2 linked regions of the Lepisosteus oculatus genome follow. The protein of the gene in region 2 purifies or fractionates together with the protein of the main gene of each other region. This does not show direct contact. Links are inferred from orthologs where the notes say so. Each region holds a gene or a part of one and is shown on either strand. Other genes may lie near its edges. The genes, in order: cast and calpain-1 catalytic subunit-like.

What was found.
Region 1: the proteins of calpain-1 catalytic subunit-like (region 2) and cast purify together in Homo sapiens (co-immunoprecipitation; 4 studies listed by BioGRID and IntAct, counting the BioPlex papers as one, with this or other methods). This does not show direct contact. The link is inferred for Lepisosteus oculatus from reciprocal best matches to the Homo sapiens genes CAPN1 and CAST.

The regions. Positions count from the first base shown.
Region 1 is NC_090698.1:74,410,177-74,425,934, forward strand, and holds the start of cast (calpastatin), read left to right. Parts: upstream 1-8,416; 5' UTR 8,417-8,689; coding exon 8,690-8,734; intron 8,735-9,413; exon of another isoform or gene 9,414-9,510; coding exon of another isoform or gene 9,511-9,540; intron 9,541-14,742; coding exon 14,743-14,811; intron 14,812-15,758. Other genes in the region: tubulin alpha-1B chain-like, read right to left, coding at 136-284, 1,087-1,309, 1,649-1,651.
Region 2 is NC_090712.1:379,396-394,903, forward strand, and holds the start of calpain-1 catalytic subunit-like, read right to left. Parts: upstream 5,811-15,508; 5' UTR 5,570-5,810; intron 5,555-5,569; exon of another isoform or gene 5,488-5,554; intron 39-5,487; 5' UTR 11-38; intron 1-10. Other genes in the region: calpain-2 catalytic subunit-like, read right to left, coding at 10,455-10,478, 11,819-11,877, 13,088-13,204, 13,963-14,041, 14,135-14,203, 15,337-15,401. UniProt on the Homo sapiens protein: Calcium-regulated non-lysosomal thiol-protease which catalyzes limited proteolysis of substrates involved in cytoskeletal remodeling and signal transduction. Proteolytically cleaves CTBP1 at 'Asn-375', 'Gly-387' and 'His-409'.

The sequences.
Region 1 (15,758 bases), on a different chromosome or scaffold from region 2:
CTTTGCCCATGTCATCATTCACAGCTCACCTTTCCAGGCAAGAGGAGTTTGGTCTGAATTACACTAACCAAACCAGAGCAGAAAACTGAGGTGATCCGACAACTTCCCTTAAGACTTCAAGTACCAGCTGCTTACCATTTTCCGGATTCTCTCCATGACGGGGTCGATCATCTCCTTGCCGATGGTGTAGTGGCCGCGGGCGTAGTTGTTGGCAGCGTCTTCTTTCCCGCTGATGAGCTGCTCAGGGTGGTACAGCTGGCGGTACTGCCCATTTCTCACCTCATCTGTAAAGGACAGATCCAGCTCGGACAGGCGCCAGGGAAACTGGCATCCAGGACAGTTTCACTTCATACATGGACTCGCAGCCATGAGCTTGGAAGAGCAATGACTCCAGTTAATCATTTCCCTTTCAGCTCACGGGCTCTCCAAGCACTTCTATACACAGAGGTGCCTTTCAGCCACTGAGGAACTGCGACTTGATACTTCGTCTGAAGCTGCAGGCCTCCTTGTGACATCACTATATAGTCCAGTTTCAATGGCTACAGCCAACTGGGCCAACCTGTGGCTCCTTCCTCATCCTCCTGGTTTCACCTCAGCTGGGCTCTCCTCTTGCTGGCCATTGCAGGTTAGTCCTTTTACAGGCATTTAAGCATGAAGGGCAAGTTCCTCACATTTACAGGGCTGTACAGTACAGCAGTCCAGGACCAAGAACGAGCACTGGCTAAGAGCATTAAGGCAACAAGGGCTGAGCCGAAAACACTTCAGGGATAGTACAGTGACTGGTGCCAGCAAGAAACCTACCAACAATAAGGACTGGGAATGAGCTCTTAATCTGAAAGGCTTTCAGTCTGCCCCCCCCCCCCCTTTGACTGGCATTAAAATAGACCTTTTTGTTCAGAAAGAAAAAGGTAACAAATGCAAGAAACAGACCATTAACATGGAGCTTGTCATTGCACGAATTAACAATTAAGAGGGACGCGTTTTATTAACAGACTAAAAGATGCTAATCTATCAAAACACAGAAAAGTACTAAAAACACCCCCACCGTTCCGGAGTGCGTGGAGTCTGTTCCCCGAGATACATTACCAATGACTGTGGGCTCCAGGTCCACAAACACGGCCCGCGGCACCTGCTTCCCCGAGCCGGTCTCGCTGAAGAACGTGGAGAAGGACGAGTCCACGACGGAGGGGCTGTTCGGGTCCGAGACGGTGCCGTCGGGCCGGATCTCGTGCTCCAGGCAGAACAGCTCCCAGCAGCCATTGCCGATCTGCACCCCCGCCTGGCCGACATGGACCGAGATACACTCCCTCTGCGGGGCGAGCGAGCACACGCAGCGGGTCACCAGCGGTACCGAACCGCGGCGCCAAGCTCACCCGAGACGGTCACATTCGATATCGGAAGTGGACGAACTGGGGTATTCTTTGAAGGGGTCGTTTCTTACTAGGAGATCAACATCAAACTCTGCGCCAAGAAACTGAAGTAATACAGCCACGCTGTAATAAGTCATCTCGATTTGATTTTGTGTTTATTCGTGTCACGATTCCCCCCCTTAACACTTTTGTTTACCGTGTACGAAACTTTAGAAAGCGTTTCATCATTTATCGGGGCTCTTAAGGATACGCGGATAAACTAGAGGTTTGGCCCTTACCATCTTCCTCACTTCTGCGTCGATATCCCAAAACGACCGCTGTGCGCGCCTCCCTCTGATTTATACATCCTCGCACCTGCAGGTCGTTGGCGGTGCACCTGAGTGCCCAATCACAGGTACCGCGGGACATTAACCACTCAGCCGCTTCTCTGCGGACAAACGTGCTCTTATATCAACTGTTAAGAGATTTCCGATACTGTTCGTATATGTACTGCTCTTTGTTGACTGTCGCTCTGCAAGAGTCGTGTTTAACTGGGAAAGATACTGTACTACTGTCTTTATAAACGAGGAGAAAACGATTGTCTCCGAGTAGATATACTTTTTCTAGCATGGGTATTGGGGTTTAATTGTATATTTGAACAGATAAGTGAGGAAGTCTCCGATCTTTAACAGATGGAGTAATGAGTGAGTATTATACAAGTATTCATCCCAAGAGACGCTGAGGGCATCAGCCTGGTGGATGAACGTGTGCACAGCAGCAAGCGAGCATCGGGACGCGACCAGGAGTTTAGAGGACCCGTGCTTAAGGCTGACACCCAGAGGTATGTGTTCACTCCAAGAGTAGTGTGGAATTAGAAAAAACTGTAAACCACACTTGTGTGACTTTCCTTACAACTCTAAAACAAATGTGCAAGATGGGTCAATGAGCCCAATCTGGTTTGGCCTTCGATTTACATGTCCCTGACTGTTTTATGATCATTGTAAAGGCATGTGCTTTGTTCTATATAAACAACACTACAGGGTGCTGTGTCTTCTTGATTTTGTGCCCCCAGATCTCTTGCTTATTTTGGACTGGGTGTTTCTGTACTCAGTCCGTGGTTTCAGACAAACCCCAGCTCAGCACACAACGCTCAGCACAGTCTGTGCTCAGCTTGTTCAGTAAGAGTTTCCTCTCCTGTTTCTCTCTGCAGTAGTCCCAGCAGATGCGAATGACACTGCATCAGACACGCCCCCAGGTCACACAGGTGAGTGAAGGCAGGTCTGAAACCCCCAAGTTAGTACGTTTGATACTGTTTACAAATCGCCTTTGTAAAACTCAAAAGTGAATGTAAAAATGTGCCGGGTAGAAAACTGAAATCTATTGGCCTGCAATTAAGATCTTGGCTGGAACAGAATATAAACTATTATTAGTTCAAGTAATAGGTTTATTCCATGCTGAATAGAGAAGAAAGAAAACGCAACGTTACCTGTTCCTTTGCAGCATGCCGACGCAGCTACCCACCTGAACTATTATGAGTTCATTTGCCTGACAGTGTTTTCCAAAGCGACTTGCAGCTGTACCCCTTTAGACCGCTGGTCATCTTACTGCAGCGTTCTGAGGGCGCTGCCCAGTTCGGGGGTACTACCGCTCAGGGTGTGAACCCACAACCTCCCAGTTCTACGATCTGCACTCCTAAGGACAACTCCACACTAGAGAAGACACGCCCTCCCAGGGATTCGGTCATGGTGAACAGAATATCTCACATAAATATAACACCATGCTAGCCTTTCTCCAAGAGTGTACCGTGGGTTTACCTAGCTTAGGTACAAACAGAAAGCCTCCTAAACTACATCATTTAAATTCTAACTCTTCACTCTTCTTTGATAGTCTGAACACTCGACTGCAAAATACAGGGGCCTGACTCATAAATCCAAGGTCCCAAAACAGTCTGTAGGACCCAAAAGAGAAGAAAGACTAAATATACTTGAGTCCAAAGGCACACCTAAGGAAAGTCGCTGACTTAGTCATGCAGCTGGAACAATTCAGGAACTTTTAAACTTCAAAATGAAAATGACAATGTCTTCTGAATCCACTAGGGGGAGCACTGCTTCCTCATAACACTGGAGACAATTCAGGGAGTAAGACTGCTTTGAATTCATGGGCTGGGCTGTGTTCATGTTGAGCATTGCAACGGAGCCGGGAGTCTGAACCAGTGAGCAGACTGCGCTTGTTACAGCAGGGGGCGTGTGCTTGTCTGGATCTTCTCATACAGACATCTGAAACTGTCCCCTGGCCTGTCCAGAGTTGCCAATATGGACCCTTCACCCTTTTATTCATATGTGAAAGCCAGAAGCAGGTCACTGCGTTGTGATTAATCAGAAGCCCACCTAAGGCACAGGGGAGTTTGATATTCCTCTTTTAAAATATTTCACCCGGGCTGTTTGTGTGGAAAGTGCCAGTAAGAGATTCTCTCAGATGCCCTTGGCTTTGTGATCACTTACTTCCATGACTCGTTCCTGTGTAAAGTTGACAGAGTTTTGAAAGACACTCGCGTTTGTTGCCTCATTCTGTCAAAGCTAACACTCCCTTTCTGCTTCTCCTGCCAAAGCGAGAGAGCACCACGCCTACCAGCCCCCGGTCAAATCAAACAGAAACTGGCCTCTTGTTTTCCTGTGATTCTGAATCAGGCTTTACCAGGCCTGGATTCACTACACTCAATGCACACTTGACTTTACCATTAGTGCTCTTATTTGAAATGAAAAGTGCTGAGTGCTCCAGCGTAGTTTGTGTCCACACTAACCAGGCCTGACGTATCCGCCCAGCCCGAGTGCTCAGGCCAGAGCAGAGCAGAGCAGGCATGAGGCAAAACCACGGTTCACACGGCGTGTTGTCGGTCCGCCAGCAAAGCGCTGTTTGCACAGGCGTGCTAGGAAACGCCAAGGGAAGCCGAGCTCCTTGGGTGAAGAATCTCAGGAAGTCCGAGCCGCTTCTCCCACAGGCCTGCTGTGCTCCGAGCGCTGAGCCAGGCAGTCGGCTCCGGACTGCACACAGCAGCCTCTGGACAGGCAGGAGCCTGTGAGCTGGAGTGGGGGCAGGTCGATCGATACGCTGCGTACTTGTGCAAATCCCTTGGTCTGAGTTTTTTACCTTTTCTTCAGTTCAGGGAGCATGAATGAATGAATGAATGGTAGAGATATAATTATGTGTTTCCTGTATTTTAGTGTATGACTTAAAAAAAGTAAAAAATACAGAAGAGGAGGAACACTTTATTCACCTTGCAAAAACTGTAGAACTAGGAATCTTCACATTGATTCAGCTCATCACCCCCAAAACAAGGGAACCCCAATACACCCTCACATTTCCCCTGAGTGCTCAGTCCACCCCTGCAGTCAGAACACACAGTAGCGCTGGGTTCGTCTTTTGGACACTAGCTTACTATTGCTATAAAAATAAGTTTGATCCAGTTTTTATCCTGTGTTACTCTACAGAATCTGCCTTTCGTTTTTAAATTAATATCCACCACCTTAAGAACACATGAGGAGGTTCCTGGTTCAAACCTCAGCTGTGCCCCTGTCTCATGACTCTGCAGCAGCAGCTCATGAACGCGGTAGTTTTCCACCTATCTTCTGTAAGTCACTTCGGCTGAATGACTCTCCGTAGAGCAGGCTCTGTGCTGCACGAACGTCTGTGGCATTCATTCTCTTAGATCACCACTGTCTGACCAACTAGGGATCTTTCTGAGGAAGAGCCACTTGTTGAGGGCATGTTATTCTTACATGGTACATTCACATGTGAGCTCACATTAGAATCAGAATTTACTTTCCAATACAAAATGTGTATATACTGTATTGAATACATCAATCATTCAGTGGATTTTACAGATGTATACAATCAATGTACAATAAACATCAATACAGTACAGCTCAAAACCATAAGATTCAGGTGTGAGCTGCATTTTTCTACACTATATGCTGTCAAAGCAATGCTCTGAAGAGGCCCCTACATCAGAATTTAAAGGAGTAACAGGTCTCAGAATGACTGAAATACTTTTAAAAAAAATGTGTGTCCTTTGGTCCTCTGAAACGTCATTCAGATGGTAGTTTTTCACATCGGGAGTGAAATGGAGATGAGGCAGCACTATTGGCACTGCTGGTGTAGACGTGGGTCAGCCGGTTCTGCTTGTGGCCAGTCATGGTGCTGCCCGTGTTTGTAATCCATGAGAGCTCGGCTCTACCCCCGACACTACAATTCCCATTTCACCGAGCGGAATGTGTTTAAAAGAGCAAGGAAAGGTTTATTCCCTGCTGAAAAGAGAAGAAAGGAAACCCAGTGTTTAAAGGAGCTCACTCTCTGCCAGACGTGTGTAGGGCAGCTCTGGGTGTGTTTCCTTGCATCAGAGCTGCTCAACCTTCTCAAGAGTGATCATCTCTGCGTGGCTTTTAACAACATGTCCTGTGCTGTCTGAGAAGTTTGTTATCAGATATTTTAAAAAAATATCCCTTCACAAGCTGCCTGCACTCCTCCAGGCTGAATCTCGACTGGTAGGATGTGGAGGCACAGATGACTGAACTCACTTCTCAGGCCTGTCATGCTGAGGCTTGCCTGTGCACTGAAGTTCACACCTGAGTTCAGAGCTATCTGAGCGCTGATAAGGAGTTCTGACTCGTCACCTGTTCAAGACAAACATTAAAGACTCTTGTTTGCCTGATATTCCTTGCACAAGCTTCATGTTCAAAAGGCAGCAGTGTATGTTACAGATACACAGAAAAGACACCCGATTTGAATTTCTAAAGGGCACTCCCTGTAGCAGAATTAGATTATATAAGGTTCGTGTCACGGATGTCACTCCATGCACAGAACATGACACGGCTTACTCATAGCGCAGTCCAGGACCAACAGGTCCCAGAACCCAGTGTCCCAGAGGAACAGTCCAATAGCATTATTCTCCAGACCCAGCTCCACTCAGTAACCTGGTTTGCCTCCTGACACCAGAGCGGAGACAGTGAAGTTCCAGGACCCTCCTCAGCTCTGGGTGTCCTGGACTCTGTGTTCTGGTGTTTCCCTTCTGTCCTGTGTATCTCCGAGTCCAGTTCCAGGTAGAGGAGGCTCCCTGTCACTGGTGTGTGATTGAGTCCTACAGAGTCTGATTGCTGCAGTCTCTCCTGCTGTCCTTTCTCCTTCCCAAAAGACCTCGGCTCTTTTCAGACTGAGGCTTTTCTAGGGCTGCCCAACAATGCTGTAGATTCATCCCGAGAAGCTTTGGGTGTGGGCAGGCTCCCTGCCCAGGGCGTGTTCAGGAAGTGGCTGTACTGTATACAGACGGCCAGGTGTATCAACAGTTTGTTCAAGCGCACCCCGTGCCCGTTCTCGATCACAGGCACAGTCAAACCCCAACATGTTGCCCCCAAATCGTTGGTAATTACTTGGGATCTATGCTAAGAGGACCTTGTACTAGAAAACACAGAGGATAAGGCGTGAAATTGCATCAACACCAGGGTGTTGCCTGCGATGGACTGGCACCCTGTCCAGGGTGTACCCTGCCTTGTGCTCGTTGCTTCCTGCCACAACGTATGGTATAAAGCGGTTTGGCAAATGACATGACTAGGGTGTCGCTGGCCCATTAGGGCAAATTGGCATCACACAGCCCTTGACAGCCGGTCCCTCCCCACACCCACACCCTCTCTTCACTCTGCCATTCACTACAGACCAAGGTGAAGAGTGCAATGGAGTTTTTTGCAATGTAGTGGATTTCCCAGTGGAGCCAACTGGAGGACTGTACTGACTCAGGCACAGATGAAAGTGTAGTTGTGCACAGTGTGTGTAATTGAGTTTGAAGTGTAAATTGCACAGGTGTTAATTGTAATGGAATGTTTCAGTTCTCACTCTGGGTTTAAAGAATATTCTACCTGGCACAGGCTTTCACTGTGTCAGTGCTGGTGAGACACAGTGTGGCTGTTAATAATGATAACCTTCCTTTTATATAGCATCTTTCATGCTACATCACTTCAATGTGCAGTAAAATAATCATTATCCTGGAATCTCTCTGTAGAAGGACAAGGGTTTGGAGTGCAGAAGGGGCAGACAGAGAACCGATTAAGTCCAATTCTTTCGGAAGGTCTGGAAGCGATCAGGGAAGCTGACTGATACTCTTGATAGACTGATAGAATTCCAGAGCCTTGGGGGCGTTAAAGTGTTTCATTCTATGACATTGTGCACTGCAGGAGCTGGTCATCGATTTTAGAAAGCAGGGTGGGGACCCCACCCCTGTTCACATCAAGGGGGTGGCTGTAGAGAAGGTCAGCAGCTCCAGGTTCCTGGGTACCTTCATCACTAGTGATTGAACGTGGTCCCAGCATGTAACTGGAGCTCAAACGAAGGCACAACTGCGCCTTTACTTCCTCAGCCAGCTGAATCAGTGTGGTCTGTCTCCAGCGGTCCTGACCACATGGTACAGGTGCGCTGTGGAGACTGGCTCACGTGTGGGAGGACGGTGTGGCTTGGCAGCAGCTCGCTGTCTCACCAGAAGGGTTACAGGGGGCGATCAGGTCAGCCCACTCCATCACTGGGGTACAGCTCCCCTCTATTTCAGACATTTTCACTACTCGCAGCCTCAGGAAGGCTGGAAGTATCGTGAAGGACACCAGTCATCCTGGTTCCTCACTGTTCTCCTCCCTTCCCTCTGGTCAGCGTTGTAGGAGCAGAAAGGCACCAACTTCCAGATCCACAGAGAGCTTCTTCCCACAAGCTGTCAGATTACTGAACTCTACCCCCACCACCGGCTCACACTGATGGGTTCGTTTTTTTTCACTAAGATGTTATTTAACTTGTTGTTGTTGCCGCTGTTTCTGTCCGTGTATTGGAGCACACAAGCAAATAAGCATTTCATTGCACGTCTGCGTGTGACAGTGTACTGCACTGAGAGGGTCAGCAGCTCAGCGGTACTTCATCCCGAGAAGGCGGTGGGAGGTCGCGCGCCGCTGCTGCGCTCGCGGCCCGGGCAGCTGGGGCAGCTGGAGCAGCTGGGAGAGAGGCGGTACCGGAGCGCCGGCAGCAGGGAGCCTCCCTCGGAGTCAGAAACGTGAAGCGGAATAATTAGGTCTGAACCACTTCAATATGCGCTCCAGCATGACAGGCGCCCAGGGCGACGCTTGCACACGCCTCTCGGTAGCGATAGCCTGCCACAGGTCCGGCCTATGAAGTAAATCTATCAAAACCTAGCGCTCGGTCTTACTTTGACAGCGGGAGGGGCGAATCCTGGTTAGAAAGTCAACTGTGTGTCAGGTTGGAAGTCTGTCTTCACAGGGCGAGTGCTTGTTACTCATCCGTGCGCACTTGCAGCGATGCCGAACAAAGGCAAACACAACCGTCCGAAGAAGTCGAGAGGGGTAAGTGATGTCGCAGCAGGTATTCTCTCCCCGCGAATGCGTGGCGTGGTGTCAACGGCCCCTTCCTGCCGGGACGAGCCCGGCTCTCAGTGCGAGATTCCCGAACACCAAGCCGGGGCCCGGCGACCCTGGACGCGGCCGGCCCCCTGGCCGAGGGGCGTCAGTCGGTTTTGGCAGGGTGGTCTGCGCAGGGACCACGGACCGGCGGGGATAAGGGTTTCTAGGACTGTTTCACACAAGTTTACACAACTTCATTGTTACACAAGTTCACTACTCCGTAGCGACGCGGGGGGAAAACGTGACAATAATACCTCCGCTCGTGTCTGTTGGAATCTTGCACAACGAGGTTAAAATTTGACTCTTTTTTTTTGGCAATTCGCCTCTGCCCGTGGTAAGAACGTATTCCCAGACCGCCGGGTAATTAAACACGTTGGGTGTAATTATTGTCGTTGAGTTTTATATGTGTGTCGGTAAGTATTGTCGTGTTCTTCTCCGCCCCGCCCCGCCTTGTTCGGTCAAAATGGGAGACTGATTTTGGAAAATGTAGGAATTTGGCAGCAGCGCCTGGAGGAGGGGCAGGGTGACGCGTGAAGAGGGCGAGGGTGCGGGGGGGCGGACGGGCACGGCCCGTGGGACTCGGGGAGCGCGGACAGGCTGGACGAGTGGGCTGACTGGAGGAAGCCCGTCCGGTCTGTGCGCTTCCCGGTGCCCGAGGCGGCAGGTCGGAGACTCGGACTCGTCCCTTCACGCCAGCGCGCTGACGCACGGAGCCGCAGATGGCTTATGCGAAGTATTGGTCCATGACAGTAAGTGGCGTGAGGAGTCGCAGCTCGGAGGCTTTCGTTTGGGGGGCTTCGGGGTAAGCGTGAGGACCAAAAAAAAGAGCGGAGGTTTGTTTTCTCCCTCCGGGTCCGGGCAGGCTCGCTGTGACTGCAGGGGCTGGGTGCGCAGAGCGCGATGCCCGTGCGTGTGTCTGCAGGATGGCTGACTGACAGCAGTGCTAGCGCTGCCGTTCCTGCAGGCGATACGCGCTTTGTGCGCGGAGCCTTGAGCAAACAGTCCTCAGCAGCACCTGCTCCGCGTTCGCAGGAAACTCCCGGCGCTTCTCCAGAGCAGCTCCAGCTCCGTGCGGGGAGCCGCCCGGGACTCTCCAAACACTTCAGAGTCGAGTTTTCACGAGAGGCGTGTCTCTGGAATACGGACAGTTCGTGTGTCTTCTCCTTTGCCTTAGTCGCTTGCTGTACATGTTAAACGCCCCTGGTTTAGAGCCGTGATTGGGAAAGTAACAGCCTTAGTCTGATTCACTCTGATTTAAGATTTAACAGCGGTGTAGAAGTTGCAGACTCGATACTTGGATTAGGTGCAGTGAATGAAGCGTCTTTGCGCATTGGTGCCTCTAGGGGCGCTAACAAAGCGTGTCTCGGCATTCAGTCTGCAGAGAGACACCCGAAAGGACATACGAGTCTCGACACAGAGCTGCTCTCTAAGTTCAGACTTATTACTGCTTCAAGCAGCGTGTGTGAGAACACAGCGATACCCGGAGGATTGCAGCACAATACTCCACCTCGTCCATCTCATTTTAAGGAGATTGTGAATGATTTCTCGGCATCAGTATTACTATTTATTTTGTACTTGAAATATCTTCAGGTAGCCTCATAAGGTAATGCAAGCAGTAAAGCTATTCAGCGGTTTCACACTCTGCAGTATGTAAAATGCACTACAGATGACGCTCTCTAGTTTTTCCATACTGCTTTCCCCACAGTACAAATTGGTTTTAATATTTAAGTGGAAAACATGGCTGGGAGGCTGCATCAAATGCAGTTTTTGCGCGTGACGTGCTGTGAAATCTTTGGTTATTCGCAGTGTCTTACTGGAAAGTTAAATACTGTGGTTCCAGTATTATCTACTCACATAAAGAGTCAGAGAGAGGGCAACACGGGTTGCAGACCATTTGTTCCCTTACTGAACTGCAGCCTGGTCAAGGAAATGTGCAGCATGAAGCAGTCCTTGGTTTTGGTGCCGCTGTGGTGGGTCGGAGCAGTGCCCTGGTTACCAGCAGTGGGTCCAGTTTCTTCAGGGACCAGAGCTGCACTGCAAACTCAGCCTGTACCACTGTGTTTCTTTCTTCCAGCTCAATCAGAGCGAAAAACCACAGGCGGAAACTGTTGGAAGTGCATTTAAAACCAAGAGCAGGAAACACTTCTTTACACAAAGGGTGGCGGGTGTGTGGAACAAGCCATGTTGTTCAAATGGCTCACTGGTGATCACTTGATGTATTAACTCCCTGCCAAGCCGGCCACATTGGCCAAAAGGCTCCCCTTGTTTGTTACTGTTTTTATGTTCTTGAAAATCTCACCAGTAAGTTTCAGGATTATTCTGATAGGCTCGGGCAATAAGTTGCACTTTTCGAAAGCTGAGATCGGAAACAACTGCAATATTAAACTGTTGTTGTGACTCACCCCTGCTCATATTTCAAGCGTTGCTTGAATATTGTACAATATTGATGTTGTCATTTCCAGATCTTTGCAATTACTTTGCTGGAAGTGCACGTATTCATTTCTGCATTTGGGTCCACAGACAGTATCCAGTCTGCAGAGAGCACTGTTAAGTATCCATTGTGCTGTCTGTGGTGTGCAGTATTCAGTATCCAGTGTGCAATGCACAGTCTGTAGTGCAGCATTCCTTGCATTGCTGTGCTCTTTACAGTAAGGCGTGGGTGCAGGGCTCACAGGTTATCTCTACACAGTGAAAAGAAACCAGGTCAAAACTCACCATCAGCTCTTCCGGGAGTTTTGACCTGGCAGTGAAGGCACTGAGGGAGAAGGCACTCAGGGCTTTCTACGCAATAAGAAGGAGGCTCTTCAACATCAACCCACCAACAAGAATCTGGCTCCAAATATTTGAAAGTGTAATCCAACCCATTGCCCTATACAGCAGTGAAGTTTGGGGTCCCCTCACAGACCAGGATTACACCCAATGGGACAAACACCCCACAGAAACTCTGCACATGGAGATCTGTAGAATCATCCTCCGTGTGCAGAGAAAAACTCCTAACAACGGGTGCAGGGCCGAATTAGGCCAGTACCCACTATTGATAAACATACAGAAAAGAATATTAAAGTATTGGCTACACCTAAAAAACAGTGACCAAAATTCCTACCACCACAAAGCCCTGCTGAGCCAAGAGCTGAGCCCAAAACAGAGCCCCCTGAGCCAGCTGGTCCTGAGGCTCACCGACCTGAGCCACACCAACACTAACCAGCCTCAGGACAGCACTGCTAGAGCACCACAACCCAGACTCAACCACATCACAGCACAGATCAAACAGCAATATCTCACACACTGGGACACACACACACAAACACAACATAAACTGGAATGCTACAGAACCTAAAACAGACAATACACATATTTGACCAAAATAAAAAATAACAAACAGAAACAGACCCTGACGAAGTACAGGCTCAGTGACCACAACCTGGCCATAGAAACTGGGCGACACAGGCAGACCTGGCTGCCCAGAGAGGACAGGCTGACTGCCAGCAGGGAGAAATAGAGACAGAGGTGCACTTCCTACTGCACTGTGACAGATACTCTGGGTCAATATTATATAATATGTCTTTGTTGTAAATGTCTGTAACATGTCTGTAGATTTTATTTTACTTATATTTTTTGTTTTGTTCTATGTTAATTTTATTATTTTTATTTGCTTTGGCAACACTGATTGTACCTATCGGTCATGCTAATAAAGCACCTTGAATTGAATTGAATTGAAAAGAAACCACTGAGTCAACATTCTCCCCTGGACGAGTGCAGCAGCAGTTAGTGTTGCTGGGATACCTCCAGAAACTTGTACAGTATCTTAGATAAGATAAGATCACTTTATTGGCCCTATACAATTTCTTGCATTAGGATTTTGTCTTTTTGCATACCCCAGCTTGCTCTCCATGAGACTTGCAGGCACACAGACGGGGAGAGAGGGTGTTCACACAGACAAGTTAGGACCCATTTTGTGGCCGTGGTTTGTTTGGGCTCTTCAGGAAATGTACTGCTGTGTGTTTCAGATCGACAAACTTGCTGTACTGTTGCAAATCACACAGTTTATAGTGATGTACTGGAGGGAAATGTGTGTCTGCCTACAGGTTTAGGAAAGTGTAGCTCAGAAAGTGTTGCTGGTCAGTTTTTTTTAACATTGTAGTTTCTGGATAGCATTCCGTGTCCCTGTTTCACATGATCACACGTTCCTGTTTCTTGTTCCCCTCACATCTGCCTCGCTTTCTCTTGATCTTAATCCTAACGATGTTGGTGGTCGGAGCTGTAGGAGTGCTGCTCCAGGCAGGGCTCCCTCTTGGAAAGAGCAGTTAGCAGAGCCAGTCAACCTATCAGCTTGTCTTCGGGATGTGGAAGGACATTGCAGCACTCGGGGAAAACCCATGCAAACACAGGAGGACACATGCAAGCTCCACGCAGAAGGCTCTGCAGGCAGGAGACGGACCGGGACCCGAGATGTGTGAGGTGGCAGCAGTGACGGCGGATGTGTGCCTAACCCCAGCTGTTTGAAGACTCATTGTGCTTTCTCTGAAGGCCGTGAACAGAGGCCGCTCTGATACAGCTATGCAAATCCGTTCCGCGCGAGCGACCTGACTGAGCGCGGTGCCCTGCGCTCTGGCCCTGGCCTGCCGCGGGGGCCTAGCCGAGGTGCCGTGTGCCTGCCTCGCGCCTGACGGGACCAGCCTGCCAGCCCGCTCGCCCTCCTCCAGCAGCTCTGCTTCTTCCCAGCCCCGGGGCCGTGTGTCCAGCTGGGGGTGTTTGCTGCTTTCAGTGCGTCTGTCCTCTCTGCGCCTCTCCTGTCCTGGGACTCTGAGGGCAGAGGCTTTTAGCTCACTGTGAGAACAACATCTGGATTCCTGGAGCACTGTGAGGCTCCAGCGGCCCTCTCTCAGGTCTTCGGCGTGAGTGGAGAGATCAGACTGTGGGCTATTCTCATACCTGCTGCTCCTGTTCTGTAGATTGGAGAGCACCTGTGAGCTGAACCCAGGAACCCCAGTAACACAGCAGCCTGCTGCCTGCTCTCTTCCCTTGCTTTATCAAGGGCTGGAAGCCAAGGGGCAGAAGGGCTGGGCAAGTCCACTCTGCTCCTAAACCAACAACCGCATGTTCATATTGTTATCCAAGAAAGAGGAGGGTTTTGTTACATAACGAATGCCTTGTGAGTCTGTAGTGGTGACTTGAGGATCACGTGGTTAGGACCAGGGAACACAGAGGATTTAGGATTGAGAATAGGAAGCAGTTCTCTGCACTAATAGTGGTGGGTGTCTGGAGCAAGAGGTGCAGACATGTTATTTAAGCTGATTCCATCAGATCATTAAAGAAACCACAAAGTGAATAAACTACCAGCAACCTGCACTACTAGCAGTGACTATAAATGAGCTGGATGGGCATCACGGGCCCCTCTCACTTGGAACCTTTCTTATGTTTCAAAGTTGCTGCATTTATCAAAGCAGAATCGCCGCAGCTGAAAAAGATTAATTGATGTGCATCAGTGGCTCCAAGGGTGTGTTTTGGCGATATTCAACTGGGCGATTCTGAAATAGCTGCATCTCAGTGCCTGCCCCCTGGGCCAGGAGAGCACTCCGAGAGGCGATTACAGAGACCTGCTGAGAGAGGAGGAACTCCTATTCCTGTGTTCGTGGGACTCAAGCCCTGGTGTTGAAGCACACTGACTCCGTTCAAGAAATGGCTGATACTGGGGACAATTAACTACTAATCACTGACTGGGTTAGACAGGCCGAAAGGCCTCCTGTCTTATGTGCTTAGATCGTGCAGCGTTCTCCTTCTCGTGATCTCAGTCTTTTAGGAGCAGTCTGTTCATTATTATTATTTATTTATTTCTGTTGTAATTATTACCCGGCTACCCTGGCCCTCCTCGGGTGGCAGTGGGGCTGTCTGTGTTCCCAGCATGCCGGTGGGGCCAGGCCGGACTGACGCCTGTCCGTTCTCTCCCACAGCAGGCGGAGAAGAAGGCCCAGGCGGCGCCGGCGGGGTCGGCCAGAGATGGAGCGGCTGCTGCAGCACAGGTCAGAGGTCACGCCGGTGGCGGGTCAGGAGGAATCGGCCCTTTCTTCAGAAGAAGCTCAGGAGGCGTTTTATGAAAACAGGCTGTAGGCTCTGGCAGCGCTGGCGGGTCAGGCAGGCTTTAATTCGATGGATGGGCTGTATAGTTCTGGGACAGGGGCGGTACAGGGCCGTGTAGTTCTGGGACAGGGGCGGTACAGGGCCGTGTAGTTCTGGGACAGGGGCGGTACAGGGCCGTGTAGTTCTGGGACAAGGGCGGTACAGGGCTGTGTAGTTCTGGGACAGGGGCGGTACAGGGCAGTGTAGTTCTGGGACAGGGCAGTACAGGGCCGTGTAGTTCTGGGACAGGGGCGGTACAGGGCTGTGTAGTTCTGGGACAGGGGCAGTACAGGGCAGTGTAGTTCTGGGACAGGGGCAGTACAGGGGCAGTACAGGGCTGTGTAGTTCTGGGACAGGGGCAGTACAGGAGCTGTGTAGTTCTGGGACAGGGGCAGTACAGGAGCTGTGTAGTTCTGGGACAGGGGCAGTACAGGGCAGTGTAGTTCTGGGACAGGGGCAGTACAGGGGCAGTACAGGGCTGTGTAGTTCTGGGACAGGGGCAGTACAGGAGCTGTGTAGTTCTGGGACAGGGCGGTACAGGGCTGTGTAGTTCTGGGACAGGGGCAGTACAGGGCTGTGTAGTTCTGGGACAGGGGCAGTGTAGTTCTAGGACAGGGGCAGTACAGGAGCTGTGTAGTTCTGGGACAGGGGCAGTACAGGGCTGTGTAGTTCTGGGACAGGGGCGGTACAGGGCAGTGTAGTTCTGGGACAGGGGCGGTACAGGGCTGTGTAGTTCTGGGACAGGGGCGGTACAGGGCTGTGTAGTTCTGGGACAGGGGCGGTACAGGGCTGTGTAGTTCTGGGACAGGGGCGGTACAGGGCTGTGTAGTTCTGGGACAGGGGCGGTACA
Region 2 (15,508 bases):
AATCTGTTACCTTCAAATTTTCTCTGGGCCACAGCAGGCTTGAAGAAAGAAAACTTCATTTGTAATTTGCAGATATTTATAAGCTACTAATATACAGTGCTTATGACTCCATACTGTATATCTGCAGCTAATCAGTGTATTGTCTATGTAGAATAAACACGTACAGTTCTTTTATAGCTTAGGCTGCTAGAATTCCTCCTAACACAGCTGTCAGAGAAGCATTCAAATATTTACACAACGCGAGAAGGAATTTCTAGCACCTCCGGTTACCCCCAGTGAAGGTCTCAGTGTTTAGTGCCACACTGAGCAGAAATCCAGCTGTGTCACATTCCAGCAGTGCCACAGAGTCACTCAGATCCTGCAGGTCAGATCTGAACAAACTGCATGGTTTTATTTTATTGTTAAAAATGGTAAACCTTTATAAAGCATTTTAGTCACCAGAATGCCTATCTTTAAATTCTAAAAACAGCAGCTTGAAGCTTTAAGAATTTAAATGCGAGGACTCCAGAGGGGTTCATCCAGCCAGAACTGCCACTGGGACTGCAGGCTGCATTTGAGCTGCTGGTCTAACTTTCCCACTGGCACACCGACAGACCTCACACAGCCAGTCAAGTACCTCGGGCGCTGGAAGGGCTGAATTTGGCAAACTGGGATGTACTCGGAACTGAGGCCCTGTGGAACAGGAGTTCCACTGAAACTTGGAGAAGGAGGGAGCTGCAGACCGGTCACACTGCACGTGGTGAAGTCAGTACTAATCAATGTGACACCCACCTGCTATGAGTACACTCTCGCTCACTGAGCAACAGCAACTGAATCAAAAGACCAGCTGTTGGTATATTTATAGGTATAGAGGACCTTAGTCCCTCACAGACACCCAGCCCATGACTGGCTTAATCTTATCTTTGCTCTTTTGGGGTCCATTTTCCTATTTACCAAATACATTTCTTCACATAACTTGAAGAGAAGTTATGTCAGATTTTAGACCCTCTGAGACTGCCAGGCTAGGAGATCAAAATAGTTCAGTCCTGAACCGAGAACACTGCTTGACTCCTATTTAAAATCCTCAATAGCACTGAGAAAGTCGACCCCTGGACATCTGCAGAATGAGCAATGAAACATGATCCAGACACAAGTGGAAACGTTGGGAAGAGCATTTAATACTGATACCATGAAGAGTTCTTCACACAAAGGGCTTGTGCTCACGTGTACCTTTATCATGCTCACATGCTGCTGCACATCCTGCTCTTGTGCTGTGAAAACCCTGTTCAGTTCCCAGTAGGAGAACATTTACTGAGTTCTTCTTAGTAAATCTTAGAAAGTAAAACATTAGTAGATCTTTTAAAAAGTTTGAATATTTCTTATCTTCATCATGTGCTACTGAAGACAACAGAACTATACGTGTGCTCATAGCACATCACGTCCTTGAGCAGAAACACACAGTGGGCAGCTGCTACCCAGAGCCCTGCAGCACAGTCACCAGGGCTGTTGGATCTCTAACTATTTGACAGGTATTTTGGTATCTGGTCTTGCAATGTAACTATATTTTCAGATCATCGATATTCAGCCATTACAAAGTGATAAACACTTCAGAAAAACTGGGAATCCTGTGACATGAAATGCCTGTCTACTAAAACATTACCTGAGTTTCTGCTTTTACAATTTTCTGCAAAACACTGTGAGCCATTAGGATGATGCAGCAATTACCCATAACCTGCTGATGAATTACATTTTATTCTCGTTTTAAATCAATATGGTTTCAGCAGCTACAGGCACTTCTGCCTCCCTCGAGGAAAGCTAATAAGACTTGGCATGTCTTTCCCAAGACCTGCCAGGTGCCACTGCACTGTGCAGGAATGCTGAAAGTGTTTTTCCGCAGGTGAAGCATGATGTCAGGCTGCCAGCAGCTACTGTACGAGCAGCAGCCCAGTGAGCCCAGAGAGCCCAGGGTAACCCAAGCCCCCCTCTCTCCTTCTCACTCAGCCACTGACAGAGACCAGACATCTAAATGCCAGCCTTCACAAACTGCCTGGAACAGTCTCTGCAGTACTGTGCGAGGGACACAGTCAGGAATTTGAGTCAAAAACATTAAATTTGTAAAAACATTTAGTCAAAACTCCAGCAAAGGAGTCTGTTTCACCTTGATGTCGAATTACATTATTTTAGTTAACTCTTTTGAGGAAAACACCATTACCAGTTAAACAAAAAGATGTTGGTTCCTCACCTCGAACACCAGGAGGGGCTGCGCTCCCGGAAACTGGCAGATTTATCAGCACCAATATACAGTATACTGATGGAAAAAAGAAACGCAGCATTTTCTTGAATGAGAATACTATAGTGATAGCTTATGTACTTTCACAAAAAGTTGTCAATTTGTTTAAGCCCTCTGACTAGCAATACAGCTGGTGCAGTGAGGCATTGCAACTTGCCAATCACACGAAAGCTCGTTTGGTGCACTTTTACCCAATGCGGTGCAGGTGGAACAATGCTTGATCAGGTCACCTTTAAAAAGGCCTTAATTCAAAGCTTAGGTCACTGCAAGAAAAAGGCCACACACAGTCAGTTTTCTGTGCATTCCATAATGCCTCGAATGTCACCAGAAGCAAGAGAGAAGGCCACTGCCATGCTGCAGGCAGGCATGTCATGTGCCAGCGTTGCCAGACACTAGGGAGTAAACCGCTCCACTGTGTTCCGACTGCAGAGAAGGTTTCAGCAGACCATCTGAGAAATTGTTTCAGATCTGCCACCCGTACTGCTGCTGAAACTGCCGGCAGACACAATGCCTACATCAGTGACAGGACTGCGACCTGTCAGAGGCCCTCTGCTCATACCTCCTATATGTCACACCCGACTGGCTTGGGCCAGACAGAGGCTGTGATGGACTCATCGGCAGCAGCATCAGGTCCACGGATGAGTCACTCTTCAGCCTGTTCCGAGCAGACAGGAGGGCCAGAGTATGTAGGTTTTTATTTTCCATCAGTATATATTAATTTACTCCTTAGAGAAATTAAAAAATATGATTAGCACAGCTCTGCTACAGGAAAATGAAAGCACCAAAAATGATTGTCTTCCTTTCTATACAAAATGTCTAAGAAAAACCATTAGTATAATTTACTCTGTAGAACAGTATGACCATAAATCTTTCATTAGCATCATAAATTATGAATCTGTGCAAGCTAGCAAAGATTTAACATAGGAGCTTAAGAAAGGTTACAAACAAAACAAGGCCATTCAGTGGATTTGGTAGTTAGTAGCTTATTGATCCAATGATCTCATTTAGTTGTATCCTGAAAGATGCCAGGGTACCAGCTTCAACAACATGGCTTACTGGCTCAGTGCAGACTCCTACACCCTTTTGTCTAAATCAATGCCTCTTGTTTCCAAATTTAAATGTCCTTCCTCTGAGTTAACATTTGTGTTTACAGGTTCATGCTTATCTGCTGACTCTGAAGAGCTTTGTCAGGGCCAACAACACCTCCCAGTACCAAAACAGCCTGATGAGCTGTGGTGAATCCTCTGACAGAGGGACCACAATCTATTACAGCATGTCACTGCTCTTCATAGCCAGTTCATCTAATTTCAGAACAGCAGCTCAGAACTACACAACTGAAACAGAATTCCGTTCCATACGATGAAAAAATAAACGTGAATGTTAATCTTACTGTACACACTAAGATAGTTCTATTTAATTAACTGGCTTATGGAGAATCTGCACTAAAACGCTGGCACTCAGCTCTTTCCAATGAGCTGCATAAGTGACAGAACTGAAGGTTTGTGTTTAATCACCTGTCTCCCACATGAACGGGCCCGATTGCCTCGCACAGGGATGTGGGCCTTGAAACGAGACAGGTCTGAATCGCCTGTGGTCTCATAGCAAGAACCATGTAATGCTAATCCTTCTAATTTAATTAGTATACATAACTAAAATGTGTCCAATAATATTGTTTTATCCTACAATACTGTTTTACCAATTAATTTTAATGTGTACCACCCATGACTGCATGTTGATGTTTCTATTCCATGGAGTGAGGGACAGCGGTTAGAGATTTAAGTAAACATTCCTGTTTTAGAAAAGGTAGGATTTAAATATGATGGGTCTCTCTGTCATTTGTGTTTTCATTTTGTGTTTTCTCTCTCTCATTTGTGTTTATACAACTTATGTAGTTACGATCTATTCATTCTGATTCCTCAGACATCCTTTCCTAAGAAAACTAAGTCATTTAACAGCAATAAAGTCAAAATGCTGATTATGACTTGTGTACAGTAAGTCGTATAGTTTTTTTCAGGGATTTAAAAATGTCCTGAGTAGGAAAAAAACTCAAGGAAACAGGGTCTGGAGGATCTAAGGTCCCCTATAAGTGTTTATTTTTACTTAAAATGCAGATCCGAATTTTATAAGCAACCAGTGCATGAGGGCGGAATCCAAACATAGCAGCGGAAAGCTCATCTAATTGCATCCCATTAGTCGCTCTGCGCAAAGCGGCTTCATCTCGGCAATCAGCTTTACCGAGCAAAACCACAAGCGCATGCGTCGGTCAATAAAACGGTTTTCGCTTAGCTGTCGTCTGGAGGAAAAATAATTTTAATTCATGGTAATTTATACGAATAGTATTCTCATGGCAACGACGTTGTGTATAGTTTAAAAATAAGACTGTAAAGTTAAAAGAAATCGGCACAAACTAAAATTAATCCTATCTTTCCCTTTCCCCAAGGCTAGTCATAAAGAAGACTGCAAAGCGGTTTGTTCTGAGTGGAAAGAAATCACAACAATAAAAAAGACAAAGGCCGTACAGATTAATATCTGAACCAACGGGGGCGCTGCTTTCCCCAGCAGACCTGGTTCTGGCAGAGGCACAGCACGATTTCTCCCAGGTCAAATGCAGTTGAGCTTCTTCCCGCAGTGACTCGGATTCATCATGGCTTCGTTTGTTCAAAGCTGACGTAAGGGCACTGAGACTCGTTTAGCTTTGGCTTTTCGGGGTCATGCATAAGCACGGCAATATTTTCCACGTGTTTGTGAGCAGTGTTTTATATTTACATGCCTCTGTTCCGCAACACTGTCCAAATCGAAAGACGATCAGCGCACAGAGCGCGGACAGGCTGCCTGGACAATCTGCGCGCTGCCCGGTGGGACTGGAGCTCCGGCTCTCCCACCCTGTCAACAGGGCTTTCTGCCGACTGCGGAGCAGAGCCCTCCAATAAACATCACACCGTCTCTGTATACTGTCGGAACTTGTCTTAAATTAACTGAAAAATAACCCACATGCTTTTTATGGTTTTCAAACAAGACATTTTGTTCTAAAGCTTCCGACTGCCTAGTCAATAAAGATCTTCTAAAGAAATCAAAGTGGGAGGTCTTACGAATAACATTTTGAACCTTTAATAAAACACAAGCCTACCAGCACATAATCATAAATCTGGTACACAGTTTAACTGTATGTGCATTTCAGTCAACATCAGAAAGTAAAGGATCAGAGCAAAACAGCGTACCTAAACCTGCAGACTACTCATCCTAACCACAGCAGCCCGCAGCAGGCGTACCTGTCCGCGGCTGCCGGGCTGAGACACTCACCACTGCGGAGCACCGTCTTCACCTGCGCTCGGGTGTTCGGCTGACAGGCACCGGCACACTTGCGCACTCAGAGCGGCGCTGCTGCAGTGTGGAGCCCAGCCCTGCCCAGCTGACGGGGGGAGGGGAGAGGAGCCGGCGCCGAGACCCCTGAACACAGATTGGTGGCTGGGGTGCCCGCAGAGCTCTGACCCAGCCTCCCGTCCTGCACGAGGCAGCGTGAGCGCTGATATTTGATCTGCCACTGTGGACACACTGCCGATACCCTCGTCTAAGTGTCTTCCCAAGACCTAGACGTAGGTATTCTATTACGACACACTGGGCAGTTATGTACAGTGTTTTAGTTTTGTTTGAGGAACAGGGTCAGCGCACGTCAGCTGTACCTTGACAACATAATAGTCCAATGACAGCCAACATATTAATAATAATAATACAAGTTTCTTAATTAAAATAAACACAAATGAACACAAGCCATTCAAATGCAGAAGAAGATGAAAGGAACAGATACAGGAATGAATTAAATAAAGCCTTTTTGAAAAGAAGGTTTTGAGTCTGGATTTGAAAGCAAGGCAAGGTGTCTCCCTGATATCCTTGGGGACAGAATTCCAGAGCTCTGGGGCGCAGCAGGAGAAGCTCCAGTCACCCATTGAATGTAGACAAGATTGGGAGACAGACAGGAGAGCAGAGTCAGAAAAATGAAGGTTGTGAGGTGGGGAGTAGGGTGATAGCTTACAAGGGAAAAGTAATAGGTTTATTCCATGCTGAAAATAGAAGAACGAAAACACATTTCGGCTGTGGACAGGTACTGAAGCCATGTAAAGCCTTATAATAATAATAATAATTAATGATTACTTGCACATATATATAGCGCTTTTCTGGACACTCCACTCAAAGCGCTTTACAGGTAATGGGGACCCCCCTCCACCACCACCAATGTGCAGCCCCACCTGGATGATGCGACAGCAGCCATAGTGCGCCAGAACGTTCACCACACATCAGCTATCAGTGGGGAGAAGAGCAGAGTAATGAAGGCAATTCATAGATGGGGATTATTAGGAGGCCATGCTTGGTAAGGGCCAATGAGAAATTTGTCCAGGACGCTGGGGTTACACCCCTACTCTTTTCGGAAACACCCTGGGATTTTTAATAACCACAGAGAGTCAGGACCTTGGTTTTACGTCTCATCCGAAGGACAGCGCCTGTTTACAGTATAGTGTCCCCGTCACTATATTGAGGTATTAGGAGCTACATGGACTGCAGGGTGAGCACCCCTTGCTGGCCCCACTAACACCTCTTCCAGCAGCAACCTTAGTTTTTCCAAGGAGGTCTCACATCCAGGTACTGACCAGGTTTACACCTGCTTAGCTTCAGTGGGTTGCCAGTTGTGAGTTGCAGAGTGATATGGCTGCTGGCATAATATATAGGTGAGCATGAGGATTTTGAATTTCACAATAAGTCAGTGCAAGGACTCCAGGACAGGAGTAACGTGATCACTTGCACACGAGAACTGGTCAGAATTCTGGCTGCTGAGTTCTGGACAAACTGAACTTAGTTCAGAATGGATTTAGGTTCCCCCAGCGAGTAGGGTCTTACATTAATCAGTTCTAGAGAAGACAAATATTACAGTTCTATCATCTGGCCACCAGAGGGCACCCCAACCTCCATCACCTGCTCAACTGCGCAGCCGAGGTGCAGACCAAGCAGATGTCTGTAGCCAGATGTCTGTAGCTCACCATGCCTCCCCTCCTCCAGCCTACATAAACCCTGCGCAAGGTTCAAAAAGTGCTCAATATTGTTGCCACTACTCTGAGTGCTAGTCTGAGACTTTGGTACATTGTTCCCTTGTTCCTGATTTTGTCTCCTACTCCTGTTTACGTCCCTGTTCCTTGTTCACCTTATCATTGTTCCTGAGTTTTGTCTGTAGCTTTCTGGATTGGTTTTCCTCAGTTTGGTGTTTTTTCGGCCCCTGATCTTTTGTTTTCCCCCTGGACTGCTTACCTGGGTTTTTGATTTTGGCCTGTCCCTTGATTCTGAGTTTTTGGATCGTGTTCCTGGACCTTGACACTCATGTATCTCCTTCTGGTTCTGGACTCCCTGCTCACCTTTTGAGTCTGGCCTTGGATTACCCTCATACATTGTTTTGGTTCTTTGTGACCTTGTAACCCGCAAAGGGTCTATTCCCTGTTTTCTGATCTGTGGACCAGCCTAACTACAAAAGTGTTGATCAGCTTTTCTGCTACAGTCAGAGACAATATAGAATGCGGTCTGGCAATATTCCTGAAATGGAAGAATTATGTTTTTACAATATTTTTCATATACTGGTCAAACATCAAGCCTGGATCAAATATCACCCCAAGTTCTTGAATTTAGATTGAAATTCAACTACAGCGCCATCCACAAATAGGGTAACTGCATTGGCTTTACAAAGCTGATTGGAGGTTCCAAGAAGCAGATTATTAATAAGATTCTCTACTGTGATTCTCCACCTGAACCTTTAAATTTATTCACTTTTCTCCCCGCTTTCTCCTGCACACTGCTGACAGCAACTTTCTGACGTCACACAGGTGTGTCCTATCAGAGGACAGGCCAAGACGTGTCCAAGACGTGTATTATCAGGCTCAAGGTCAGACTGTCACACTTTCTCCCACAGACAGAGAGTGAACTGCTAAGTTACACGTTACTGCCGTGCAGAACACTGTCATACTAAATGGCATCTTAACTTTTAAAAGGAGGAAGATTCACATTAAGTACTGTTAGCAGTAAATATTTATCAGTCTGCAACAGTGATTAAGACTTTAGAATATTTCCCTGAAATTCTGTACCCTCACAGTAAAGACAGTGGTCTCCTACCTTTAACTGCAATGTGCCTCTCTGTCCCTCAGAGTTCTCTCTCCATCAGACTGGACAAGCAGACCTGATGTCCAGTGCTCTCTGATCTCTGCAGTGCCCTCAGTTCAAGGGTCTGTCCTTCTCCACAGGCAGCACCAGACTAACAGAACAGTCACCACAGAAAACAGGTCTGAGTTATTACACACCAGGGAAAACAGACTCCTGATACCAACCACATGCAAGTGTTTAGGTCTAATAGTAACTGTGTTCTTCTTGATACTAATATCACTAATATAATATCAGTATTTGTTTCTTCCTGATGCTGTCTGTGGCATATTAAAGAGGTGGGGAGTAATTGCATATTTCTGAAAGAAAGTGTGAGAAACACAGCCACACAGGGAATACTTTGGCATAGTCTCATTACTTTTATATTTCAACCATATATGTCTTTTAAAATTAGCAGTGGGTTCCCTGGCTCCTGTGAAGGTTACATTTTGCAGATTAAAATCATCAAAGAACCTTTCATACATTTTTATTTTATACTATTCCTTCACTTTTTTCCCTACTGTCAGATACCAACTGTGAATAAGAGCATAAAAAAGGATAAGCTACATTTAACATTTAACACCCTAACAAGCTCTGTTGTAATTAATTGGAGCTATTTAATAATGCCACACTCCACACCCTACTGTCCTGTCACCGGAAGTAATTGTTTCAAGAAATTTAAATGGATTATAAATCAAAACATGCATGTGTGGAGTTGCCTTAGGGCATTCAGCTCTACAAAGATTATATGTAAGGCAACTGTTTACACTGAGTAAAGTTATGAATAACAGCCTGAGCATATGGCAGATTTCGAACAACCATCAGGTCCATATTATAATCAAGTTGTTTTTTTCACCATGAAATTGAAAGTTTTCTGAAGATACCTTGGTTACACAGAAGCCAAAGGCAGGAGCAGGACCCAGCAGGAGCAGATCCCAGCAGGACCGTTGTCAATTCTCAAGCCGGGCCCATCTGCCACTGGCAAATGACCTTACTCGAAAGCGCAGTACCTGCTGGCGGCTCTCCGAGCAGGAATGAGGAAGGTGCCTCTGGGATGGAACAACTGCTTTAATCCAGAACCACAGCTGCACTGGTCACAGTTTAGAGCTTCAAAGGGTAGGTGTGGTGGATGGCAGGTAACAGAAAACGTATGCAGAGCTCTAGCACTACAATAAAAAATACATATCAATGTGACTGCATCTGTCTTTCAAATGCTGAATATATCTTTACATTTAACATGAAGATAGTTAAAAATAAAACCTGGTGTTCCTTCAGAAGGGCCAGAATTGTATGGTTACCAGTGTTCAGAAGCATTAATGAAGAATGAAGAATCCACTGTTTAACTCTTATGGCTTCCAAGGTGAGAGATCCTGCACACAGCCAGTGGCATTTCTGAACAAGGATCTTAAAATTCATCCCAAACCAAGACACATCGACTGAAGCAGGGAGCTGACTGTGTGTGTTGGAAACTTGACCACAGAAAAGAGAATGATCTAATCAAGAAATTCTAATTAACCAATACTTCCTTCCTGTAGATCTATGTAATTTTTCAACAATATGTACAGTAAACAATTAATATTCAAAGAATAATATATTATATCTTAATAGCATTAAGATATAAATTAACTATAAATGCCTTCTATCAGGAACATGCTAAACAGATGGAAAATGCAGAATATTAGAATAAACCTCCACAGATCACTGTGTCTTAAATACAGCAGTCAACATCTAGAAACAATTTGTGGAGTTAAATTAAAATTAAATTAAAAGACAAAAAGGCAGTACCCAGTTTTGTAGTGGTTATAACAGATTTATTGCTGTGCTCCATTCCAAAACAAGATTTGTCCTACTTTAATGTCCATTCTGTCCAATACATAAAATATAATGCAGCATTCAAAATGATTCGTATCCACAAAAAAACGTAATTTTAGCAACAATAACAACAGTTCCTGTCTTTTTGGTCACTTTGCCTTGGGGTTTTGCCGTTTTGCTTGAAGGCTTGGCCAGAGGTCTTCTAGATCATGGTGAAAGTCAGCCACTGGGGAGACAAACATGGAGCACGTGAGTGTGGTATCCGGCTCTGCGGTCGTGTCTCGACATGTCCCCGCAGTGTTCCACCCAAACCCTCCGAGAGGTAATGGGCATTTGGGAGTCTGACCCCACTCTCCATCACCGTCTCTGCCTCAGAGCCTCCCAAACCCCTTCCAATCACAGCACACTGTTGAAGGCCCTAACTTTCCACAGAGCAGATTATGTTTAATCAGCACCAATGATGCAAGAAACATTTATTTTTAAATGAAACATAGACCAAGATTTTAATAGGAAATATTGGACTTTGGTTTCTTTGACTAGGTCTAATTTAAATGTGAGATGAACACATTTGATGAACGTAACAATTTAATTTTTTTATCAAGGCTGGAAAGAGCTGCACAAAGCACATTTTAAACATCTGGAAACATCTGAAACATGCAGCACACATGAGACCTCTCCAGGGCCACTGGTGAGCCATGGGCCACAGGCTGCACTCTCTCACCTTTCCCTGGGATACAGAAGCTGCCTGCCGTGTCACCTAACTGGTAATAATAATAATAATAATAATTCCTCACAATTATATAGCGCTTTTCTGGACACTCCACTCAGGGCGCTTTACAGGTAATGGGTGCACCCCTCCAGCACCACCAAAACTCGGTTTTACATATCATCTGAAGGATTGCATCTGTTTTACAGTATAGTGTCCCCGTCACTATACTGGGGCATTAGGACCCACACAGACCGCAGCGTGAGCGCTCCCTACAGGTCCCTCTAACACCTCTTCCAGCAGCAACCTTAGCTTTCCCAGGAGGTCTCCCATCCAGGTACTGACCAGGCTCACACCTGCTTCATTGGGCTGCCAGTCATGAGTTGCAAGGTGACATGGCTGCCAGTGCCAGTGCAGACACTGAGGAAAAGCTCCTGAACACTAAACACTCCCAGAACTCTAGATCTGGTTCAGTTCTGTTCAGTGGACGTGTGCTTAGCTTGGTAAGACTAAAAATATAGGGAATTACTTTTATGAACACTTTTACGAACACTCCTTTAACTGAAACTTGAAAAAATACCACGATTAATCCACTTTTCCTGGAAAGATTTTTTAAAAGATTCACAGTGTTATTATGTGCACTATTCTCTTTCTGGTGAAGTGCCCATTGAATGTTTTCTTCAAGAAAGGGGAAGGGAGTCTGCAGCCAGGGGTGTAGATGTCTTACCCTCCCCTATGGAAACTCCAAAGCAGCAGCCCTGCTGACAGTATAACAGCTTATTGCAGCCTGAACATGTTTTACTTTCTGAAGAGCCAATATCTTTCGTTCACTATGTTCCACTTCAGGAAGGATGTCTCACCTGGTAAAAGTTGAGCTCTATTTCCCCAGTTCCCTCTGTGTCAGCATTCTTAAAGACTCCTAATGAAAGAAAAAGACCTGATATTTAAGCTTTTTAAGATTTACACAGTGATGAAAAACTCTGAGTACAGTACAATGCTTAGCAAAATTACTCAGACCCCTCTTGTGGTGTTCCATTTTGTTACATTTATAGAATTACACATACACATTTCTAATAAATATTTGATTCAGAACTTGAATGCTCAAACACAAGACTTTTAGAGCAAAATGAATTACAATACATGTCAGCAAAAACTAAAATATGTTGATTGCCTAAGTATTCAGACCTATGAAATATATATTTGATGGAAGCACCTTCGGCAGCAATTAGTCTTCTTGGGTCAGTCTCTAGGAACTCTGCCCACTCTTTAATGCAGATATGATTCCATCTTCAGTGATTGAGCTCTCACGTTGCTTGGGGATCACTTACGGCCAAAAGTTTTTAAGTCTTACCACAGATTCCCAAAGGAAGGTCTGGGCCAGTCAAGGACATTCACTTTCTTATTCTTAACCCACTCCTAAGTAACTCTGGCCTTGTGCTTTGGATCACTGTCCTAATGAAAGGTTAATTCTCTCCCCAGTTTTAGGTCTTTAGCAGATAGACAGAGGTATTCCTGTTCTGTTTGTCTGTTCTTTGCTCTGTCCATTTTCCAAGAGTCCTAACAAGCCTCCCAGTCACTGAGGTGAACCTTCCCCCCAGTGTGATTCTGCCGCCAGCATGCTCCACTGTAGGGGTGGTGCTGACTGACAGATGTGCTGGGTTGCATCTGCGTTATACAGTACGCTATGCAAAGAATTCAGACCAAAAAGTTCCAATTTGGCCTCATCAGCCAGGAGATGCACAAGGGCACACAGGGGAGAACACGGAGAGAGAAGCACCGCCCTGCGGGTGGACTGGAGAAGCCCAGCCTCATCGACGGCACCAAGAGGACGCAGGGTCAAGGCGTCGCTGCACAAGAGCCAAGAAAACCCTGGCCGAGCAATCTCATCGTGCACTCGGCAGTGTCCCACCACAGTGTGCTACCGCTTGGGAAATCCCTGTAACTGTCTGCTACTGATGTGACCCGGGTTCAAACCCGTGATCACAGAGCTCAGCTTGTGCTAGAGAGATCACATTGCAGACCGAGCCCCTCAGGAAGCACCTTTAGTGTCGCTCAGCTCTGTTTCTTTTTGAGAAAATCACTCCCAGCCACTGGCACGCCAGAGTCTCAAGGGGAAAAAGGGAACTCACGGAACATCGTCTCCAGACGAATCAGGCAGGCCACGAAGTTGTCAAAGTCAATAGTCATGTCGGGTTCAGCATAGCGGGCCACAAGGACTTGGTGGATGTTATTGGTTAAGGTGAAACCTGTTGGTCAAAGGAAAAGAGCACACGGTCAGCAGCATCCTCTCTTCAGTGACAAAGGAGAGAAGGCTATTTGCCACATCTGTTTGTCATTATTTGTAGTTAGTCATTATGATACAAGATCTTCATGCTCTATGCTAAATGAAATGGTGCAGTAAATAACGCTCTTAATTTCCTCTGCTCCAGGAAAGCATGGTTACTGTGTAAGGAGACCAGGCATGCAGAAGATTTTAGTTTAGATCAGACATACAGTAAATCCTACAGTAGTCCCTGCTCGCCAGCAGTTGCAGTTTGAACATAACAGATTTTATGTTCAGAAGCTCAACTTGGTCTGGTCATTTGATTCTGCAATATAAGCATAAAATCTACCCAATAGCTATGATCTTTCTTTTGGAGTTCCTGCACAGCCTTATCTCGTGTGGTGCTACTTCCTGGCCCAGTGGGCACTACATTCACAGTACAAAGTCCCTCCTAGCTATGCAGACACTCTCAGTCTTTTAAATTTCACACTGGGAGTTGCTCCACCAACACACTGTGTTCATGACTTCTCAAGTCTTCCAAAACTCACAGGAGTGGATGCTATATAGTTGGCTACAGTGCATGTGCTACACCAGCTATTGCACTGGCTGTTATAAGCACCTGTAGTAGAAATCCAACTATTAAAAAAGGCATAGCAAAGCCAATTAATCCTTTATATACATGTTTAGGGAAACACAGCACCTCCCCTTCATCAGTCTACTCTTCCCTCTAATGTCAGATACCTGCTTCTTTCAGGGCCATGCGCATCTCCGGAGTGCTCATGGTGCCAGACCCGTCCAGATCGTTCTTCTTGTAGATGCTCTGGAAGACACCATAAGAAAGTATTTGTAAAAGGGATGTCTGGAAATATTATACTGTATGTGCGAAGATCTGAATTCCCAAAAAAGCTCTTACCAGGTACCTCTGGATCTTCTTCCACAGGCTGGCGAACTCTGCCATTCCCAGCTTGCCATTGCCACTGTCCTGCCTGGGAGTTAAGGTCCACCTGCTGTCCTGGGACAGCGAGCTGCGCCAGCAGTGCCCCAAGCCTCCCAGCACAAAACTCTCAAGACTTAAGCTCATGACACTTTACTGCTAAATAGCTACATCTTTAAAATTTACCATTTCATGGTAATGGTACAATAAAATAATAAGAATTATAATAATTGCTTACACTTATATAGCGCTTTTTTTGGACATTCCACTCAAAGCACTTTACAGGTAATGGGGACTCCCCTCCACCACCACCAATGTGCAGCCCCACCTGGATGATGCGACGGCAGCCACAGTGCGCCAGAACGCTCACCACACATCAGCTCTCAGTGGGGAGAAGAGCCGAGTAATGAAGCCAATTCATAGGTGGGGATTATTAGGTGGGGAGTCCATGATTGGTAAGGGCCAATGGGAAATTTGGTCAGGACGCTGTTGTTATACCCCTACTCTTTTCGAGAAAAGCCCTGGGATTTTTAATGACCACAGAGAGTCAGGACCTTGGTTTTACGTCTCATCCGAAGTCCCCGTCACTATACTGAGGTATTAAGAGCCACATGGACTGCAGGGTGAGCACCCCTTGCTGGCCCCACTAACTCCTCTTCCAGCAGCAACCTTAGTTTTTCCAAGGAGGTTTCCCATCCAGATACTGACCAGGCTCACACCTACTTAGCTTCAGTGGGTTGTGAGTTGCAGAGTGATATGGCTGCTGGTCAGGACATACTGAACTTTGTTCAGAATGGATTTAGGTACCCCAGCGAGTAGGGTCTTACATTAATCAGTTCTAGAGAAGACAAATATTACAGTTCTACCATCTGGGCACCCCAACCTCTATCACCTGCTCGACTGCGCAGCCAAGGCGCAGACCAAGCAGATGTCTGTAGCCAATCATTACTCGCCTAGTCTTCCAGCAGCAACCTTAGTTTTTCCCAGGAGGTCTCCCATCCAGGTACTGACCAGGCTCACACCTGCTTAGCTTCAGTACGTTGCCAGTTGTGAGTTACAGAGTGATATGGCTGCTGGCCATATCCATAAAATGCCTTTCTTGTTTTATAGGAAACTACTAAAAAATATGACTCACTTTGGTAACATGCTTGATGTAATAAAAACTCAATGAGATAGGATACATCCATTAGATTGACCATGACTCTGCACGTTTCCAAGCTAAAGCCATCGGTTTTTATATCAGAGCCTGTAAAACATTAACAGCATAGAGCAAAAGTTTACAACAGTCAAAAGTTGCCTTCTCTTTAACACAGATGGTTTAGTTAGTTCTGAATAGCATGGATGACAAAATTG